Lytechinus pictus: one gene and its partners. The protein of the gene in region 1 purifies or fractionates together with the protein of each later gene. This does not show direct contact. Links are inferred from orthologs where the notes say so. Each region holds a gene or a part of one and is shown in the gene's direction. Other genes may lie near its edges.

Region 1 (7,404 bases):
CAGATTTGTCTGTCATAGCGGCCACCTTTCATCATGGCATTTTGTATATTCTCATAAATTATGATTATTAAACGCTCTATGACGAGGGAATTTACTGCAATTTTTTCAGATCATTTTATACTGCACGCAATTTTATATTGGATAATTTGTTTGAATTTACAAGTGTTGCCCGTGTATAAAGGGGAATGTGTAAAGGCCGAATGTGATGTATTTTGTCCATTTTAATTTATTTCAAAAAGAAGAAAATGAATTGGTTTATTTCAGTTTTAGAATTGTGAACAGAATATCAATATGGTAGCATTTTTTGGTGTGATCATGTATTATGTATTTATCCATATATGGATTTGTAATTTTGATGTAGATTTTGTCCAAAAGAAAGATAACTAGCACAGGAAATGTTCCCTATTATGAAAAAAGTGTACATTTGTACAGTAGCAAGTGTAAATTTCAGAGAACACTTTATTTGTTTTATTTCTGTACAAATGTTTATGTTTTACATCCCTCCTCATGTACACAAAATTGTGAAATAGAATTGGCCCTCTATATATGTTGTACTTTTCTGAATGATATTTGTGTATTGGTCCGAAGTCGAGTGTATTCATCCGTTTGTAAAGTAGATGATTGTAAACTTTTTTTGTCCTAAGGTACAAGCTTTTTGAGATTGTTTAATTGAAAGCAAACAAAACTGTGGAAACAAATAAAATAAGTCATTTGTAGAAAACCAGCTTTCCAAGTATACATCGTTATGATTGTTACTTCAAGTTGGTATGTAAGGTTTCTTTTGGGATAAAAAAAAAAGCAGATTGCAGATTTTTATTACTGATTTCTTTGTTCTTGTCAAATAAACAAAAATGAAAATTAGACACAAGAAGTTAGCATCCAAGGGGGAAAATGTCTGAAAGTGAGCTTTACAAAAATGGTTGGTTGACTTGCTATGAAAGTTTCTAGCTGTCAATTATAAAATGTCTTGAAGGAATCAAACCATATACCATTGATGTTGAAAAAATAGTAGTTGATAAATTCTCATGGAAATTTGTTCATTTGTATAGATTTAGTCAATTTCTTTCTTGGATATTCTGAATTTACAATCTTGATTTATTATTCTCTTTCCCTTCATCAATGTTTGGTCAAGCCATATCGTGTGCATGTCATTTTGTGTAAAATTGCCTGCATGAAAAATAGAAATGTCTTGTTTTAAATATTTTTATGTGAATATCTCTTTTTCATGGATTTTTATTATTCTATCATTGCATATTATCACTATTTTTTGGTGCGCCTGCCTATTGAATGGTGATTGTAAAAAAAAATTGTTTGTGCATAGTACATTGTCAATTGTTGATTTTTGTTTCTTAACTTGACTGAATTGGTGAATGGGAAAGTGATTAGCAGTATTATTAAGTCACCCCAACCAGTAGGTAGGCACTTCAGATTGGAGTGTATCTTATATAAGCTGTACACATTGTAAAGCGAGGAACATACTCATTTTTTTCTTTCTCTTTGTACAACATGTAAGAAAAGTAATAAAAGAGTGTGTTAAAAAAATCATCTGAACATGACTTGTGTCTGTATTTAATTTCTTGGCATGTTGTAGATTGCAGAAGCAATATGGAGCAATTGCCAGGACCCTGTTCCATAAATATAGGTATTATGATAATTTTGCCATCTAATGGTAACTCTGTTTGAATTCTTGATTCTTATTGGCTGTTGGGTATTGTTGCCATGGTAGTTACAATAAGCCAGTTCACGGTTAGCTCATGATCAACTTTTTTCAAATGACCTTTGTGATTTTTCATTAGGATAAGCACTATCATTTTCAAATGTAGATGCTGCGTAAGCTTTACTGGTAGAGTATTCAAATTCTAAGAACAAAAGGCATTATATAGACCAGGTGACTAGAATAGTACATCAGGGATAAAGTTTGGAAATCTGTTTTATTGTCTGCCTTTGGTACATTTGACTATTGTGTAGGCTACTGTCAAATACCAGTGATTATGAAGGCTCTATTTATTACTCTTCAGCTTGGATGTGATAAATATTTTGAAAGGAATATATGAATAATTTGAAACAGAGGGTCGTGTGTTTGAATCGTAGCCATGGCGTATTTTCCTTCAGCAAGAAATTTATCCACACTGTGCTGCACTCGACCCAGGTGAGGTGAATGGGTACCCGGCAGGAGTAATTCCTTGCATGCACTGAGCGCCGGTGATGGTAGCTCGAGCTAAAGCCGGGGTAATAATAGCAGTGCTTTGTATCCTCTGGCAAAAAGCGCTTTATAAATCCAACTATTATTATTATTATTATTATTAATCATCAAATAATGCCTATGTCAGTGAATTTGAAAGCCACCTTCATGGTTGTCTCCAATGACCTTTTTCTGCTCGTGCGCAGTTTACAACCGTGAACAGGCTTATTGGATGGCAGAGTTCCCATCGTGCAATGTGACCCAGTAGTGTGTGTTTCACCATGAACCTATTAACATTTAAAGTGATTGGCCCGTATTCTGAAGTCGGGTTTAACTCAAACTCAGGTTTAAAGTTGTGGTTTAAGTATGGATAGCCAATTGCTAAATAAATCGCTAAGAGTAGAGATATCATATTCCAGCTCATTTGGCTGTCAAATCATTCATAATTGTCTAGGAAATATAAATAGATGATTGTCTTCACCATTGAAGAATAAGGAAAGAGCACAGTAAATATAAGATGCATACAACTTAATAAAAATTTTGACACTTTTGGCTTCCCATAATTTTAGCAGAGTTAGACCATGGTCTAAGTTAAACCTGACTTCAGAATACTGGCCATTCTGTCTATGATTGAATGAGACGTCCCACTTACCTTGCATCTTAATGAGAACCTTCAATTAAAATTATCCTTGTAATTTAAAGGGAAAGTTAACCCTGGCAAAAGTTTATTGAGAAATTAGCAGAAAAGTAATATTGGTGAATGTTTAAGGAAAATCCATCAAAGATCAAAAAACTTATTTGAAGTTAGGATTTTATTGATTTGTGACATCATATGCAAGCAATTTCCCATGTGTAGTGAATTAAAACTAACAAAATATCATTTTCTCAAAAATTCAAAAATTGTTTTTTTTTTATTGTACCTTCAGTATATCCACTGACAAGTAATTTCACTCAATCTCCTGCAAGAAAAATGTTAGTCATCATGGACCATGAAAAAAATTGAAATTCATGTATTTTATATTACATAATTTTCTTGATCTTTGATTGATTTTCCCCAAACCTTCACCAATATCTTCTTATTTTTTATGGTATTTTACAACAAGCTTTTTGTCAGGGTGAACTTCCCCCTTCAGGAGCACTTCTTTCCATCGGGAGCTCTTTATAGCAGAAACTACAAATTCAAGAAAAAAATCCCAAAACGATTATTTTTTAAAGTTATTATTATGGATTCAAATATGCAAATTTATCCACAAAAACATTATTTGCATATTTTCAGTTAAATTCCATCAATTCAAGTTTTATTTCACATCTCATAAAAAACTTTTAAATAACACGTACAATGCATTGTATACATACACATTCATATGAATACACATGATAAATAGAAAAAAATCATTAAAAACAAATCTAAAAGCAAATAAAAGATGGAAATGTAATATATATATAATACAGGAGACATAAAAAGATAAAGAGTGAATAACATTACATAGCAGATATATATAGTGGATGGTAGATATATAGTGGATGTGGGGGATCCGCAATAAACGATTGGCTTGTCTAAGGCGATCCCTTGTATTCTGAAACAAAACAGATTAAAATGAATTAGAATATAAGCAAGTCAGAAAAGGAGAGCGCATAGACTCTAGTCTACACCATAAGAGAAAAAATATAATAGGGGGTTAACATGCAAGGAATTTACATATTTTCTTTTTACGTTTCTGAAAAATCATGTGAAACTTTGAGGGGGTCATCGTGCCCCCCCCCCCCCCCCCACACACACATGCCTCATTATTTGTAAAAGTCTATACGGGTGCAATTTTCTTATGATTTTTTTTCATGTAAAAGTCTGTCATTGACATTGAATGGAATTGCTAATAATATAGGTTTATTATATATACACATGACATATTTTTTTTGCATAAATCGCCCATTTCAATCAGTGTACGTGTGTGGCCTATGATATAAAGGCCGAGTATTAGCTGGTACTGCTGGTATGTAATAATTCTAGAAATTTCATTTTATTTCATCATGATACAAAGGAGTCTGTGGACTGTAGACTAGTCTATTCAGATAGCCAATCAGTGAACTAGAATTAGTTAAAGGTCCCGCGGGTTGATCAATCACATGTTGATCGTGGCGCGAAAATTGTGTGCGATGCACGTTCGTGTGTTTTGTGCATAAAGATCGGGCATTTAAACTGCATGTACACTGCACTGGCGCAGATATTCTTTGTTTACATGCATGAAAAGTGTGGACTTCTTCTAGTTTCTGTCACATTTCCTTCAGTTAAAAAGAAACTTCCGAGCTAAATCATGGATACCGACATTGATCAACAGTTGAGAGATTACCAGCGTGAATATCTAGAATTTCTGGACGATGATGTAAGTTTGAATGATTAATTTTGTTGCCTGTTGGCTGTTGGACGTTTTTGTTTTCTCTTGTTGTCTGTTGATGGAAGTAACAACAGTTAAAAGTTGCATGAAATTGAATGAAAATTTGAATTTGATTTTGAAACTTGATGTCGTTAAGGTACGCGAGAATAATTTTAGAAAAATATTAATATTCACGTCTTAGATCTAGGCCTAATTAAAGCTCACCTGCCCACAATTATAAGTTAGAGTTTTCTTTCTTCTAACTTCTAACTAACGTTAATAATAATAAGTCTAACGCGTTGCCATAATAATCAACACTTTGATTGTGGGCATCAACGGAAAGACAAGACAAGTTGGATCTGTTTCTAATTATTTATAGTTACGTTCATGAGTCATTAACCGTTTTTTTTTAACGGAAGCTTATTAGGCCTAGGCCTATATATTTTTTTTCTAGCATTAAAGATAAATCTATTGACATCATCATGATCTAATTTTCTAATCTAGGCCCTAGAATAGATCTAGATTAAATTAAATTTAAAGATCAAGTCCACCCCAGAAAAAAATTTGATTTTAATCAATAACATTAGAGAAAAATCAAACAATAACGTTGAATATTTCATCAAAATCGGATGTAAAATAGGAAAGATATGAGTTAAAGTTTCGCTTATTTTTCACAAAGCAGTTAACTGAGTTATATTCACAACTCAGTCTCATGCAGCAACATGCAAATGAGATCTGGGGGGCGTTTCATGAAAGGACTTGTCGGACGTTTTATCCGACAAGTCCCATTTTATCCGACAGTTACCATATAGGAACAGTGCCTCTCAGCCAATCAAAATCATGGAAAGATGTCAGATCTGACAACTTGTCGGATGAAAATATTGATGAAACGCTCCCCTGGATGTATATGGTGGCCCTCCAGTCCTGGGCATAAATGCATCAGGTACTTGACCTCATTGGTGGCGGAGCAGAGGATTATATTTTGTGTTTGGGGGGGGGGAGGGGACGCGTATTGTTGCGTCCCCCCAAACACAGAAGATAATCCTTTGCTCCGCCGCCAATGCTTGACCTGGATTTTACCGGGACCGCGGCAGAGAGTCAATGATGTCCCTCACTCACTATTTCTTTTGTTTTTTGTTTGAATTATACAATATTTCAATTTTTACAGATTTGACAATAAGGACCAGCTTTACTGAACCATAAAAGTTAGAAACAATTTAATTCCTCGTGTTCATGGAGGAAGAAAACCTATTTTACCTTCCAATGAGGAGAAAATTAAAATATTTCATATAAGAGAATACAAAAGAAATAGTGACGAGTGAGTGACGTCATCAGTCCCCTCATTTGTATACCAACCAGGATGTGCATATAGCTGTTTTGTGAAATTAGCAAAACTTCAAAATGTCATAACTTTCCTATTTTGCATCCGATTTTGATGAAATTTCAGTGTTATATGCTTCTTGGATTTTCTCTATTTGTTTAAAACAACTTTTTGTTGGGGTGAACTTGTCCTTTAGTTTAAGTTAGATCGAACGTTAGGCCTAATGTAGGCCTGCCCTTGGCTTGGGTGTGTTCAATGCAATGTTGGTTTCCAAATTTAAACCTTAGCTATTCTACCAACGTTGGGCCTAACTTAACTTGAATCATGAATGATTGTAAACATGGAAACAAAAAAGGGTGTGCATTAAAAAAATGTCCTCCATTCTCATTCATCTATATAAGTTACTATAGTATGTAGATCTAGACTAAAGTCTAGATCTAGATCGATCTAACAAAAAAAGTTAGATCTAGATCTAAATTTAATAAATGTCTTTCAAATCATGTTTCAGAGGAAAATTTAATTAAACATTGAAAAAGATGCGTTGGTAAACTCTATCAGCTCAGATTTTACAACCTTCAGCATCGCGATCGAATGTGCAACTCTGAACATGATTGAGCTTTCAAACTCTAAATTTGCTCTCGCAGTGCAGTCAAAACCTAGCTGCTCGAGCAGGTGCCAGCTAGAATTGACCTGATTTCTAATTGTGACTGATGAGTCAAACTACACACTAAAGTTAAACTGTGCTATAAGTATAACGAAATGAAAGCGGGAAATTTAAAGGTGATCAACAAATAAGCTTTATATTTTCGACACTGAACATTGCACCGCTGATCGTGTTCTGTGTTTTGTAATTCAACAAGATTTGTTGCTATTTAAATTTAAAAATCGACATTGAACACACTGACCATATGCAATTAAAAGGCCAATTTGACTGATTTCAAAAGTGGTCAGTGGCAAGGGTGGATCCAGGATTTTCCAAAAGGGGGAGGCACATTTTCCCTGAGGAAAATTTGACCCCCCCAAAAAAGTTTCTCCCAAGTTTTAAGGTCATTTCGTCCACAAACAAAATTTGACAAGAAAAAAAAGAGTAAAAAGGGGGTGAGGGCACATTAGAGTTATAAAGTTATAGAGGTATATGTACATTACAAATTTTGATTGTGCCCCTCGAAAGGGGGGGGGGGACAAGGGCCGACTGTGCCGCCCCCCCCCCCCCCCTGATCCACAAGTGGTCAGTGGGTTGAACATTTATCATTAGTTGTAATGTGTTTAGATCTGACTTATCAAAGTTTGGTGGCTTATAAATTAGCCTTTGAAACCAAAAATGACATAACAAATACTTCGCATGTTACCCTAGGCCTAGATGTACTGTATGTTAGAATTATTATAGGGGTCTAGAATAATTGGTGAGAAAAAAGAGAAATCAACTTCATCTACCAGAAAAAAAATATTACCACTCTCTCTCTAAGTTGTATCCTTCCTCCATAAGCCGAGATCGTTGACTCGGTCCCCTTGGGGTGTCAGGTAATAAA
Region 2 (7,037 bases), on another chromosome or scaffold:
TAATATTCAAATTTTGTGGAAATCTAATGCTCCTGAGAGCATTTTAAACAGTCTTGGTAATATACAATTATCTGAAGCATTGTGAATGTGGTATTCATTTATAGGGAGGAAGCTGCTGTCGAATTTTATGGTAACAAATTTTCAGACTTGAGTGGTTGTCAACTTCTGTGGTATAACAAATTCATTCGTTCAAAAACTAAACAGTATCTTAATTATCCAATGTGGCATGAGAGAAATGTCTTAATGATGTCAGACTTATTTAATCCCCCTCTTTTAGGCCACAAAATCTTTGAAGAGCTTGTGTTAGATTTTGGAATCCCCCAAACAGACAGAAGGAAATGTAATTTTTTAATTGAGTGCATCCCGGAAGAATGGTTGATGAGTTTTGACCCTGATATTATAGGTGTTCATGAAACAATTGTACATAAATTGTTGAGTTATAAAAAAGTCCCTAGAAATTCATACATTTTATTTAGGGGATCACACACACCTGTCAAAAGATACACTTATTGGGATGAACATTTACCAATACCAGTATCTATCGATTGGGAAAAGGTACATTATACAATTTTTTTTGTACCATTGATACTAAATTAAGATCATTCTATTTTAAGATTTTTCATAAAGCCATAGCATTAAATGATTTTTTATATAAGATTAAATCTAAGGACTCACCCAATTGTGTTTTCTGTGATAAAAGTGAGGTAACAATAGTCCACCTGTTTTGCGAATGTGAAAGGGTAATTCCTATTTGGCAATCCCTTTTAACAAAAATTTCCCAAAATAATGTTCAAATAAATGGTTCTAATTTTGAAAAAATGTTTGGACTCCCAGCTGATAAGTTCATTTCATACCTTTTCTTACTTTTGAAGTATTATATTCATACATGTACATTTAAGAATAATCCTCCAAGTTATGCTCTTTTTAAAAATTTTTTTAAAAAACAACAGGACTTGGAATATTTGATAGCTAAGAAAAAAAATAAGTTGCCCGCTCACTTTAAGAAGTGGCGATTCACCTTATAATTTGGTTTTCAAAAATGTCAACAGGTTACATGATAACTAATAATGTATATTTTGTATAACAGGCTTAGTGCCCCATTTTTTAAAAGTAATACTGCACTGTATTGGTTATATGGTTGTAGACATCAGTTCCCATTTTTTTAATGCAACTTGTATCTCAGTTTCCTTGATATACTTGTTCGTTTAAATACCTCCATATTTATGTCGTCTTGGATAACTAGTTGTGTTTTTTAATCCTATCAATAGTTGTTGGGAAACCATTTTATAATCATAGCTTGTATATTTTGTTTTGTCTACTTTATTTACCAAATCACCTATCTTTGTTTAGATAACACTGATATTAAGTTATCACTTTGCCACATTCCTTTTTTGGGGGGTGGGGGAGGATAAGTGGGTAGGTTTTTTTTTTTATTATTATGGTTATTTTGTCTTTTTTGTATAATTAACTTGTGTTTATGTGATTTGCAATCACCTAATAATCATTTGTAAATTTTGTGATTTATTTCAATTTATAATAAGAACAGAAAAAAAAAAGGAAAAAAATTTGAAATGTTATGTAACTATTTGTTCATGAAATCAGAATAAAAACAGTATTTTAAAAAATGTCAGTGTATACAATTAAAGTAACCAATACTATAATAGCCATAAATGTATGTATGTGTATTTATGCCCCCGCCCATTCTCTACGTGTGAGGGTGGGTGTGTGTGTATGTCAGTGTATACAACAAGTAACCAATAAACATAAATGTATGTATGTGTATGTATATAGCAAGAGAAAAGATATTTCGTCGACTCCGATTAGGTCATATAGGACTAAATGAAGATCTCTGGCGAATGAAAATACACCCAACGGGACAGTGCAATTCATGTCCGGAGAAAGAAACAATTGAACACTACATTGTAAAATGCCCTAAGTATATAATTGAAAGGTCGATGCTTCTTGTCGAGGCAGACATCGCCGATCCCGAGGAAATCCTTAGGCTCCTGAATTCTTGGGACCCAGGTGTCCAAAATGCACTGTTTTTTTTTTTTTTTTTCGTGAACGAAAGAGAGAAATATATCTATTTGATTAGTATGTAATTATTTATTTGTTCATATAGGTACATATGTGTGTATTTGTGTATATATATATGTCATTTATATGAGTATGATGACCACATGAGACGATGGTTATTGTTCTGTTTGTTTTAGAATAAGATGTATCTCTCTTCCCTCTGGGTTATATTCCTTGTATTCAGTAGAGCTCATTATCATTTTGAAAAAAAAAGAAAAAGAGAAAAAAAAAGAAGAGAAAAGAGAAAAAACTGAGAAAGACAAAGGAAATAATAAAGAGAAAATAAAAGGGAAAAGAAAGGAAAAGGAAAGGAAGGAGGAAAAAAGAAAAGAAAAAAAAAGAAGAAAATGGAAGGAAGAGGAGAAGAAATGAAAGGAAAAAGAATAAAGATGAAGAAATTGAAAAAAAAATGTATATGCATGTGTGTGTATATACATATATTTTTTTTTTTTACTAACTCGATCATATCCATCTAACTTACAACCTTGATTTAACAATGCACCATTTCATTTATTAAAGCCCTCATTTTGGATGCCCCCATAAATTTCGAATAATCCGAACCTCCCCATATCAAATTTTATATTTTCTCTTTACAAAACAAAACAGACATACATGTATTTGATTGGTAATTATATGCGAGATCATTTCACGGGAAAAGACTCTTTAACAGTTTATTGCTCTATTTATTTTCCGAGTTTCAAGACTATAGAGTATCCCAAAGGGAGCCCCCCGGGGGGGGCACTCGACCAAAAAAGTGGTAGGGGTGTGCCGCGGGCGAGACAAAAAACGGGGGCCTTGGAGCGGGCTTATTGTAAAAAGGAGGGTCCTCGGAACGGGCTCGGAACTACAAATGTTTGTGAAAACGGGGGTCCTTGGAACGGGTCGCCTGCGTGCGAGTGCGTATGCATCCCTATGGAACGTGCATGCAGCTATAGCCCGGCGGCACGACTGACGGGCGCGCTAGCGCAGAGGCGATGGTCGGGCAGCGAGCTGCGGCCGCTTTTCACCAAAATTGCGACCGGAACGGCGTAACGGAAAATATGCGATGCCCTGGAGCGGATTTTTTTCTTCTTTTTTCTCGAAAAGAAGAAAATGCTATGCTTTGGAGCGGCTTTCTTTGTTCTTTTTCTCAATAAGACAAAAATGCTATGCCTCGGAACGGAAATTTGAGTGTAAAAATGGGGGTCCCCTCCGCGGCACATACCCACTATGCATTATATACTGAGTGCCCCCCCCGGGGGGAGCCCCCTGTCTACACCGGAGAGACAGGACGATGTCTGGACGGTGTCGCTAGAAGGGACGGGATCATGCGGTAACCTGTAAGATACGATAGCCTTTATAATAATAAAAATTATTATTAAAAAACAAAAAACAAAAACAAACAAAGAAAGGAGAGGAACGATTATAAAGGACACGTCAAAGAAAAGAAAGAAAATAATAGTTGACCAAACGAGTTGGCGGTAATAGTCAAATATGACTGGTCGCCATTAATTTCCAACAAACAACAACATATAAATACCCGTTTGCCTTTTTATTTTTTACAATAGCATATTGCGAGCGGGCGAAGCGTGCGAGAAAAAAAAATCAACATTTGCTTGATTTGATTTCACCACAGTGACAATCAAGATAATGATAATGCATAATAGGTTATGGAAAAAATGTAATAATTTTAATTTTCTATCATGAAACCTTGAAGGGTTAACATAAGTTTTGTTATGATATGGAGACAAGAAAAAGCGAAAATGTTTGCTCTTTGTTATTCTCCCCTCCTCTCATTTTCTTCACTTTTCTTCCCCGATTCCTTAAATCCTCTCCTTTAACTTTATGTTATTCTTATCCCGTTTCTCTTCTCTTTCCCCTTTTTTCTCCTTTTTTGAAATCTGTGATGGATTGTCCTCAAACCTTTACCAATTTTTTTTTTTTTTTTTCTGATATTCGATCACTAAAACTTTTCGTCGGGGTGAAATTCCCCCGGAAATTCCCCTCGCCTTTTAATGGGATTTCGCTGAGGTAGTAACTCGGCCAAAATTTTGCAGCTTTAGCCAATTAGCCGCCGAGATGCATGAGAGAGATCGAGAGAATGAAGATTGAAGAAACAGCGAAATAATAATACACCAGCGGGAAATTAGATTGAGCGAATTTGGACAAGTTGTATCCATTCTATTTATGGGTTTGGGAGATATTTTAACATGGTATGTATTATGCATTGGTTGGGAATGATCATACGATTAATGCTTTTCTCGTTTTTGTTTTAAATCTAAGATCAATCAAAAGTTCTGACTCTGAGGTTCATAAAGACATGACAAGACAAGATCAAAGCTTTGGGTGAACTACTTACCCTGGTCCCATTCGTTGTAATTCGCGTAGGCCTAACAAGTTAGTAGTAGACAGCTGGCGCTGGCACAAGTGGCAGCTGCAGCCCACTCTAGGCGACACCCCAATACTTACCCGTGCTAATAAAGTGGGACTCCGCTCACGCGCGTTTGGGCCTCCCTAGCTTAGAACTAAGCAATATTATCTAGAAATCGTTACATTGTAGTAATTAAATATGTTCTATTAAATAAATTGATAATGTTTAATCGGTACTCACCGGTTCTTTTGTTGCATTTTCAGACCATTTCTCACAATTCTTCGTAAATATTTGCGGCAAATTTTGTCGCCATAGACAGCTTAGCATCCATCTTTATTGATAAATGGAGCGCCCTTTACGATTGTTGTTAATGCCGCGGAGAAATCGTTAGGCATTTTGGCCTGTGTTCAAGGCGTTCTTTCTGTTTTATTTTTAAATAGATTGTGCATTTGTTGAATAGCGCCGTCTACGTCAGGTATGAGATCGAGTGTATAAATACACTCTTCCAAAATAATTATGATTCCGACCTGGCGCTGTTTAACTTCAATCTCTTTCACCTAAATTAGCGATGAATGCTAGCATTATAAAATATATATTATTAACGTCTGACGAAAAGAATAACCAACCGATCAGCTGACGAGAACGCGAATCACGTGATCTTCATATCAGCTTCGATCGCGAGTCAGAAGAGAAGAGCAGTTGCCCAGAAAATCAGGAAAAAGCCGTGAAAATGTAAGTTCCCCTTCATTTCTTTCAATTTTTTTTATTGCTAACAATGTATTCAATTAGTGAGATCGAAATGTAATGATTAGACAGTACGATAGCTTGTAGTTTTGATAAAATACAAAAATAATCATCTTCACAAAGATTTCTGACACAAAATACTACTGATGTCGCCTATGAGGTCCATACATGTAATGTTGGACCTCATTGGTACTAGGAGTGCTGCAGCCGTCTGTTTCGAGGAGTTTTTTAAACATTTATATATTTGTTTAAATTCTCCTCGTACACAGATGGCTCGCGATTGTGCAGCCGCCATTAGGGGGTAAATAATGCAAAATCCCCCTGACGGGGCCGGGCTCATCGATTTTTGTCTTTATTTCACAAAAATAATATAGGCCTAGGCAGGCTAGCCTAAAAAGAACTGGACCAAAAAAAAAAGATTATAATTTTATATTAATATTATTAGATCTATTCTGTTTTGGCTTGAAATGCACCAAAAGTGGGAAAAAATAATTTAAAAAAGACAAAACAGTGACTTAATTTGGCTGGGGATCGAAGCAGCAGCTGCGTGTATTTAATATTGGGTCTCCCAGATCCGGATAAATCCCTTATCCGGATTGGTGCTGGAAAATGCATTTTCTCCCTTCGCTGATGGTGGCGTATGATGTGCAAAGAAGTTCATGCCTACGGCTAGGCACTAAGTGCAATTCGCCAGATTTAAAGTGCTTCTATGCTAGTATATAGGGATTATGGCATAAGGCATTATTTTAACTCTGAAAGTCTCTTTTTGTATGTTTTGACATGGAGATCAACAAGAAAATGGTCAAACTTGTGTATTTTGTAAATGAAAAGAGCAACATCTTGTTTGGGTTTTGTTCTTAGCTGGAGGATGTGTCTGAAGTTGATGTCTTTCTAAGGACTTTTCTTTGTATCCCCCCCCCCCCATCGGCTTCATAAAAAGGTTGAATAATTCTTACGAAGAAGGGTTCAACCAAAGACACTGTTCTAAGGCTATTCTAACTTTAAAAGTAAGAGCTGCCACTTAAAAATTTGAATGTATTGAAATGTATAATCATATTTTTTCTTGTACTTATGCCCATATGTAACAACTGATTTGACTGAATTAAGTTCAATATGTATTTTTTTTCTCTCACTTGTTTCAGGACTGATTTTCAACTAACTAGAGGCCGCAGAACAGGAAACTTGTCACTTTGCCTTCACAAACTTTCAAGGCCTTTACATGTACTTTCATGAACTAAGGGACAGACTCACCTCATTTGATGATACTGATAAATTAAGAAATTAACCTGTCAGTTTCGGATCTAAAAAAACAAACCTTGAATTTGAATTTTAAAAGGGGGAAGGGAAAGTTTAAAGGTGTCATGTGCACTTTTACACAAGCACAGATAAAGGATTAAAGTGGGACTTATAGTTCTAGATTGGCTGATGTGCTCCTACTTTCCTAAAGAACATTGGAATATCAAGACTTGAGACTGCACTCTGATGCATATTCCTTGAAGCAAGACAACTCAGATGGTGCTGATTTGAAGAGAAATATTGGCTGTGTACACTCAATCAGAGAGGTCATACTCATAAGACCTTTCATCCAAACAATTGAACAGTGTGGGTATGGATCCGTCTGAAGTGGAGTTCCTGGCAGAGAAGCAGGAGGTCACGATCGTTCCCAACTTCTCCCACGATGAAGTCTTCTTGATAGCGGGCAACGTTGGACCGTTCAATCCTAGTTTACCCATGAAGGTCCCCCTCTGGATGGCTGTCAATCTGAAACAGAGACAGAAGTGCCGGATCCAACCACCAGATTGGATGAATGTCGGTAAGTTATTCATGGTTGGTGATAGGAGGATGGAATGGTTGGGAGAGGGACAGT
Region 3 (7,219 bases), on another chromosome or scaffold:
TCGTTTCTTCTAAATTTTTAAATTGGCAATTTTATAAAGTATCCCCGTGCCGAAATTACTTCTAACTTCAGCATATTACCTTTTGACCCTCATCCGCGGGAAAAATGAAATAGTATTGGAGCCTATTGTCATCAGATTTATTATATTTACTTCCAAGTCAGCAACATTATGTTCATTACAGACATTAAAACACAATTCTATGACGTTATTCTACATCATGTAAGTATTTTCTACTGTGTTTTCATTGTGTGAACTTGATATGAATTCTATTCGTTTGTATTTAATTTCATCGCCGTCTTTCCAAGTACGGTCCCACCCGCTCAAATCGATGTTTGTTACTAAGTCTAAGAGTAAGAGTTATTTTTTTTTGCAGTGTTATTTTTTCAGTCACAGTCACTCACATACTAGACCAAAAGCTTCAGTCTCTGTATTTTGGTTGTTCCGCTGAACTACGTTGGCTCCACTCACCATACATAGACTGAAGGGGATGGGGCCCCGTACCTACAGCCAACGTATAGTGAACTAGCGTTTTATAGATCGCGATTTAAAACTGTTTTTGGCTTAACTGCAGAATACCCCGACACTGCTCACTACCCAATCGTTGGTCAGCCAACACAACGATGTCAAGACCTATAGCTATATACTAATTCAATGGTATATAGCCTAGATATATCCATACTATTATATACGTACATGCATTACTGGTACTACTACTACTACTATACTACGTACGTACGTACGTATGACGGTACGTACGAGCAATGCATCCAGGCCATACGTAATGACCTTTGCCCTTTGACTACTACTAGAGCTATAATTAAACATCGTTGGGTGCGCTGCTAGCCAACGACCCACGTTGTGACGGTACGGACGGTGCAATATAATATTCAAAACATCGCTAGCCAACGACCAACGATGTGACGGTGCCATGTAACATTTAAAACATCGTTGGCTAACCAACGACCCACGATGTGAAGGTGCAATAGTACAAGATTAATACACTCTTTTAAATTACCTACTACTACTAGCTATTGCTATACATCGTTGGGTGCGCCGCTAGCCAACGACCAACGATGTGACCGTGCAATGCAACATTCAAAACATCGTTGGCAAGCGTTTCAAAGTATGGTTTCACAAAACAGTTTAATATATGCATATCCTGGTTAGTGAGGTGATCGATGTCATTCACTCTCTATTTCTTTTGTATTTTTTATACATGAAATATTTTCATTTTTTCTTCATTAAAATATGAAATAAAGTTTTAATTCCCATTGAAGGAATTCAATGGGAATTGAATTCAATTAGGGTTAGGGTTAGGGTTAGGGTTAGGGTTAGGGTTAGGGTTTAGGGTTAGGGTTAGGGTTAGGGTTAGGGTTAGGGTTTAGGGTTAGGGTTAGGGTTTAGGGTTAGGGTTAGGGTTAGGGTTAGGGTTAGGGTTTAGGGTTAGGGTTAGGGTTAGGGTTAGGGTTAGGGTTAGGGTTTAGGGTTAGGGTTAGGGTTTAGGGTTAGGGTTAGGGTTAGGGTTAGGGTTAGGGTTAGGGTTATATTCACATCGTTGGCATCGCCGGCAATGTTGGCCTCTACAACAGGCATATTCACATCGTTGGCATCGCCGGCAATGTTGGCCTATGTAAGATACATTCACATCGTTGGCACTGTTGGCATCTACTACAGGCACCAACACATCGTTGGCATCGCGGGCGCTGTTGGTATATACATACTAAACATACATTCACATCGTTGGCATCGCCGGCAAAGTTGGCCTATACTTACTAAAGATACATTCACATCGTTGGCATCGCCGGCAATGTTGGCCTCTACTACAGGCATATTCACATCGTTGGCATCGCCGGCAATGTTGGCCTCTACTACAGGCATATTCACATCGTTGGCATCGCCGGCAATGTTGGCCTATGTAAGATACATTCACATCGTTGGCACTGTTGGCATCTACTACAGGCACCAACACATCGTTGGCATCGCGGGCGCTGTTGGTATATACATACTAAACATACGTTCACATCGTTGGCATCGCCGGCAAAGTTGGCCTATACTTACTAAAGATACATTCACATCGTTGGCATCAATGGCAAGGTTGGCCTGTACTACAGACACCAACACATCGTTGGCATCCTGGCCGGCGCTGTTGGCCTATACGTACTAAAGATACATTTACATTGTTGGCATCGTTGGCACTGTTGGCATCTACTACAGGCACCAACACATCGTTGGCATCGCGGGCGCTGTTGGCCTATACATACAAAAGATACATTCACATCGTTGGCATCGCGGGCAAGGTTGGCCTATACTACAGACACCAACACATCGTTGGCATCCTGGCCGGCGCTGTTGGCCTATACGTACTAAAGATACATTTACATTGTTGGCATCGTTGGCACTGTTGGCATCTACTACAGGCACCAACACATCGTTGGCATCGCGGGCGCTGTTGGCCTATACCTACTAAAGATACATTCACATCGTTGGCATCGAGGGCAATGTTAGCCTGTACTCTACAGTACAGACACCAACACATCGTTGGCATCGCGGGCAATGTTGGTCTACATAGGAAACTACAGATATGATCGCATCGTTGGCATCACGGGCACTGTTGGCATGTACTACAGACACCAACACATCGTTGCCATGGTGGGCAATGTTGGTTTACATAGGCAACTACAGATATGATCGCATCGTTGGCATCGAGGGCAATGTTGGCCTGTACTACAGACACCAACACATCGTTGGCATCGCGGGCAATGTTGGTCTACACATACTACGGAAATATACACATCGTTGGCATCGCGGACACTGTTGGTCTACATACTACAGAACACAGATATAGATCGTTGGCATCGAGGGCAGTGTTGGCCTGTACCGACTACAGACACCAACACACCGCTACCATCGCGGACTGTGTTGGCCTACACGTACTACGAAAATATACACATCGTTGGCATCGCGGGCAATGTCGGCCTACATACTACAGATGCACACAGATATATATATAGATCGTTGGCATCGCGGGCAGTGTTGGCCTGTACTACGGACACCAACGCACCGCTAGCATCGCGGACTGTGTTGGCCTACACGTACTACGAAAATATACACATCGTTGGCATCGTGGACACTGTTGGTCTACATACTAATCGCGCGCGCTCGCATCGTTAGCGTTACAGTGCAGTCTGAACACTTAGAATCTATTCAAAAAATACTTGTAAGTTGTAAATCATTCAATTATTTATTATAGCTGATTTTCTGATTTGATAGCTTAAGTACATCGTTGTGCGTTGGCTCTCCAACGATAAGGTAACGCAGTGTCCGGGTATTCTGCAGTTGTTCCCTGTTTTTTAAGCAAAATTGAAAGTTTCATGGTTTCCATTATCAGGGAAATATAAATAATAATTAGTAATTGCATACCTTGGGCCGGAGTTATTGAAAAAAATCCTCTGGATGATTGAGAAATCTGTCATCTAAGACATTTTCACCTGACCTGACGGTTTTTCTTGCAAGTTGCCATCTTGAATGACGTCATTATCGTTATTAACTTAATGTCTCGAATCGATATATCGCGATTATAACTAGTACTAGTACTAGTATAACTAGTATCGTTTATCTTCGGTTTCGTTCGCATATGGAGCAGATCGTATAATATCGAAAGCAATATCGATATCACATTCGTGATTGTTGACGTTCGTTTGTAAATATTTTATAGTTTGGCTGCCATTTTGACCATTTTTATCGTGTTCAACCCAATTAAACATCGGTAAAGTATATTTTTCATGCCTTTTTCATCTATATCGTTTAAAGTGTTTAAAAATTAAATTAATTAATACGTTAAGCTCCATATTAACCTATATTGAGCAAGATATGAATCTCATCGAACGTCAGACAAGGAGAACGTGAATGAAAATTTTATATCGTGACATGAATTTTTTTTTAAAGTCTTCCCCTCACCTTTTTTATTCACTTGTCTCCCTCCTCTTCATTTCCCCCTCTTTTTTCTTCTATCTTTCCCTTCTTTTTTTCGTTCTTTCTCTCCTTTTTTTGCTCAGCCAATTTTTTTCAGGGGGGGGGGGGGCACGTGCCCACCTGCCCCCCCCCCCCCCCCCCCGCCCGCGCCGTATGTATAGCTACGCCACTGCATATGAGTTACATCAAGATCAATACCTCTTCTAAGTACAGAATACATTTCGTTTCTTCTAAATTTTTAAATTGGCAATTTTATAAAGTATCCCCGTGCCGAAATTACTTCTAACTTCAGCATATTACCTTTTGACCCTCATCCGCGGGAAAAATGAAATAGTATTGGAGCCTATTGTCATCAGATTTATTATATTTACTTCCAAGTCAGCAACATTATGTTCATTACAGACATTAAAACACAATTCTATGACGTTATTCTACATCATGTAAGTATTTTCTACTGTGTTTTCATTGTGTGAACTTGATATGAATTCTATTCGTTTGTATTTAATTTCATCGCCGTCTTTCCAAGTACGGTCCCACCCGCTCAAATCGATGTTTGTTACTAAGTCTAAGAGTAAGAGTTATTTTTTTTTGCAGTGTTATTTTTTCAGTCACAGTCACTCACATACTAGACCAAAAGCTTCAGTCTCTGTATTTTGGTTGTTCCGCTGAACTACGTTGGCTCCACTCACCATACATAGACTGAAGGGGATGGGGCCCCGTACCTACAGCCAACGTATAGTGAACTAGCGTTTTATAGATCGCGATTTAAAACTGTTTTTGGCTTAACTGCAGAATACCCCGACACTGCTCACTACCCAATCGTTGGTCAGCCAACACAACGATGTCAAGACCTATAGCTATATACTAATTCAATGGTATATAGCCTAGATATATCCATACTATTATATACGTACATGCATTACTGGTACTACTACTACTACTATACTACGTACGTACGTACGTATGACGGTACGTACGAGCAATGCATCCAGGCCATACGTAATGACCTTTGCCCTTTGACTACTACTAGAGCTATAATTAAACATCGTTGGGTGCGCTGCTAGCCAACGACCCACGTTGTGACGGTACGGACGGTGCAATATAATATTCAAAACATCGCTAGCCAACGACCAACGATGTGACGGTGCCATGTAACATTTAAAACATCGTTGGCTAACCAACGACCCACGATGTGAAGGTGCAATAGTACAAGATTAATACACTCTTTTAAATTACCTACTACTACTAGCTATTGCTATACATCGTTGGGTGCGCCGCTAGCCAACGACCAACGATGTGACCGTGCAATGCAACATTCAAAACATCGTTGGCAAGCGTTTCAAAGTATGGTTTCACAAAACAGTTTAATATATGCATATCCTGGTTAGTGAGGTGATCGATGTCATTCACTCTCTATTTCTTTTGTATTTTTTATACATGAAATATTTTCATTTTTTCTTCATTAAAATATGAAATAAAGTTTTAATTCCCATTGAAGGAATTCAATGGGAATTGAATTCAATTAGGGTTAGGGTTAGGGTTAGGGTTAGGGTTAGGGTTAGGGTTAGGGTTTAGGGTTAGGGTTAGGGTTAGGGTTAGGGTTTAGGGTTAGGGTTAGGGGTTAGGGTTTAGGGTTAGGGTTAGGGTTAGGGTTAGGGTTAGGGTTTAGGGTTAGGGTTAGGGTTAGGGTTAGGGTTAGGGTTAGGGTTTAGGGTTAGGGTTAGGGTTTAGGGTTAGGGTTAGGGTTAGGGTTAGGGTTAGGGTTAGGGTTATATTCACATCGTTGGCATCGCCGGCAATGTTGGCCTCTACAACAGGCATATTCACATCGTTGGCATCGCCGGCAATGTTGGCCTATGTAAGATACATTCACATCGTTGGCACTGTTGGCATCTACTACAGGCACCAACACATCGTTGGCATCGCGGGCGCTGTTGGTATATACATACTAAACATACATTCACATCGTTGGCATCGCCGGCAAAGTTGGCCTATACTTACTAAAGATACATTCACATCGTTGGCATCGCCGGCAATGTTGGCCTCTACTACAGGCATATTCACATCGTTGGCATCGCCGGCAATGTTGGCCTCTACTACAGGCATATTCACATCGTTGGCATCGCCGGCAATGTTGGCCTATGTAAGATACATTCACATCGTTGGCACTGTTGGCATCTACTACAGGCACCAACACATCGTTGGCATCGCGGGCGCTGTTGGTATATACATACTAAACATACGTTCACATCGTTGGCATCGCCGGCAAAGTTGGCCTATACTTACTAAAGATACATTCACATCGTTGGCATCGATGGCAAGGTTGGCCTGTACTACAGACACCAACACATCGTTGGCATCCTGGCCGGCGCTGTTGGCCTATACGTACTAAAGATACATTTACATTGTTGGCATCGTTGGCACTGTTGGCATCTACTACAGGCACCAACACATCGTTGGCATCGCGGGCGCTGTTGGCCTATACATACAAAAGATACATTCACATCGTTGGCATCGCGGGCAAGGTTGGCCTATACTACAGACACCAACACATCGTTGGCATCCTGGCCGGCGCTGTTGGCCTATACGTACTAAAGATACATTTACATTGTTGGCATCGTTGGCACTGTTGGCATCTACTACAGGCACCAACACATCGTTGGCATCGCGGGCGCTGTTGGCCTATACCTACTAAAGATACATTCACATCGTTGGCATCGAGGGCAATGTTAGCCTGTACTCTACAGTACAGACACCAACACATCGTTGGCATCGCGGGCAATGTTGGTCTACATAGGAAACTACAGATATGATCGCATCGTTGGCATCACGGGCACTGTTGGCATGTACTACAGACACCAACACATCGTTGCCATGGTGGGCAATGTTGGTTTACATAGGCAACTACAGATATGATCGCATCGTTGGCATCGAGGGCAATGTTGGCCTGTACTACAGACACCAACACATCGTTGGCATCGCGGGCAATGTTGGTCTACACATACTACGGAAATATACACATCGTTGGCATCGCGGACACTGTTGGTCTACATACTACAGAACACAGATATAGATCGTTGGCATCGAGGGCAGTGTTGGCCTGTACCGACTACAGACACCAACACACCGCTACCATCGCGGACTGTGTTGGCCTACACGTACTACGAAAATATACACATCGTTGGCATCGCGGGCAATGTCGGCCTACATACTACAGATGCACACAGATATATATATAGATCGTTGG

Evidence for each region.
Region 2: the proteins of zygotic DNA replication licensing factor mcm3-like (region 1) and DNA replication complex GINS protein PSF2-like purify together in Drosophila melanogaster (affinity purification with western blotting; 3 studies listed by BioGRID, with this or other methods). This does not show direct contact. The link is inferred for Lytechinus pictus from reciprocal best matches to the Drosophila melanogaster genes Mcm3 and Psf2.
Region 3: the proteins of zygotic DNA replication licensing factor mcm3-like (region 1) and cell division control protein 45 homolog purify together in Drosophila melanogaster (affinity purification with western blotting; 5 studies listed by BioGRID, with this or other methods). This does not show direct contact. The link is inferred for Lytechinus pictus from reciprocal best matches to the Drosophila melanogaster genes Mcm3 and Cdc45.

The regions. Positions count from the first base shown.
Region 1 is NC_087245.1:38,186,836-38,194,239, reverse strand, and holds the start of zygotic DNA replication licensing factor mcm3-like, read left to right. Parts: upstream 1-4,300; 5' UTR 4,301-4,494; coding exon 4,495-4,563; intron 4,564-7,404. UniProt on the Drosophila melanogaster protein: Acts as a component of the Mcm2-7 complex (Mcm complex) (Mcm complex) which is the putative replicative helicase essential for 'once per cell cycle' DNA replication initiation and elongation in eukaryotic cells.
Region 2 is NC_087246.1:48,469,918-48,476,954, reverse strand, and holds the start of DNA replication complex GINS protein PSF2-like, read left to right. Parts: upstream 1-4,013; 5' UTR 4,014-4,268; intron 4,269-4,992; exon of another isoform or gene 4,993-5,158; intron 5,159-6,312; 5' UTR 6,313-6,778; coding exon 6,779-6,983; intron 6,984-7,037. UniProt on the Drosophila melanogaster protein: The GINS complex plays an essential role in the initiation of DNA replication.
Region 3 is NC_087246.1:10,233,024-10,240,242, reverse strand, and holds the start of cell division control protein 45 homolog, read left to right. Parts: upstream 1-4,129; 5' UTR 4,130-4,361; coding exon 4,362-4,412; intron 4,413-7,219.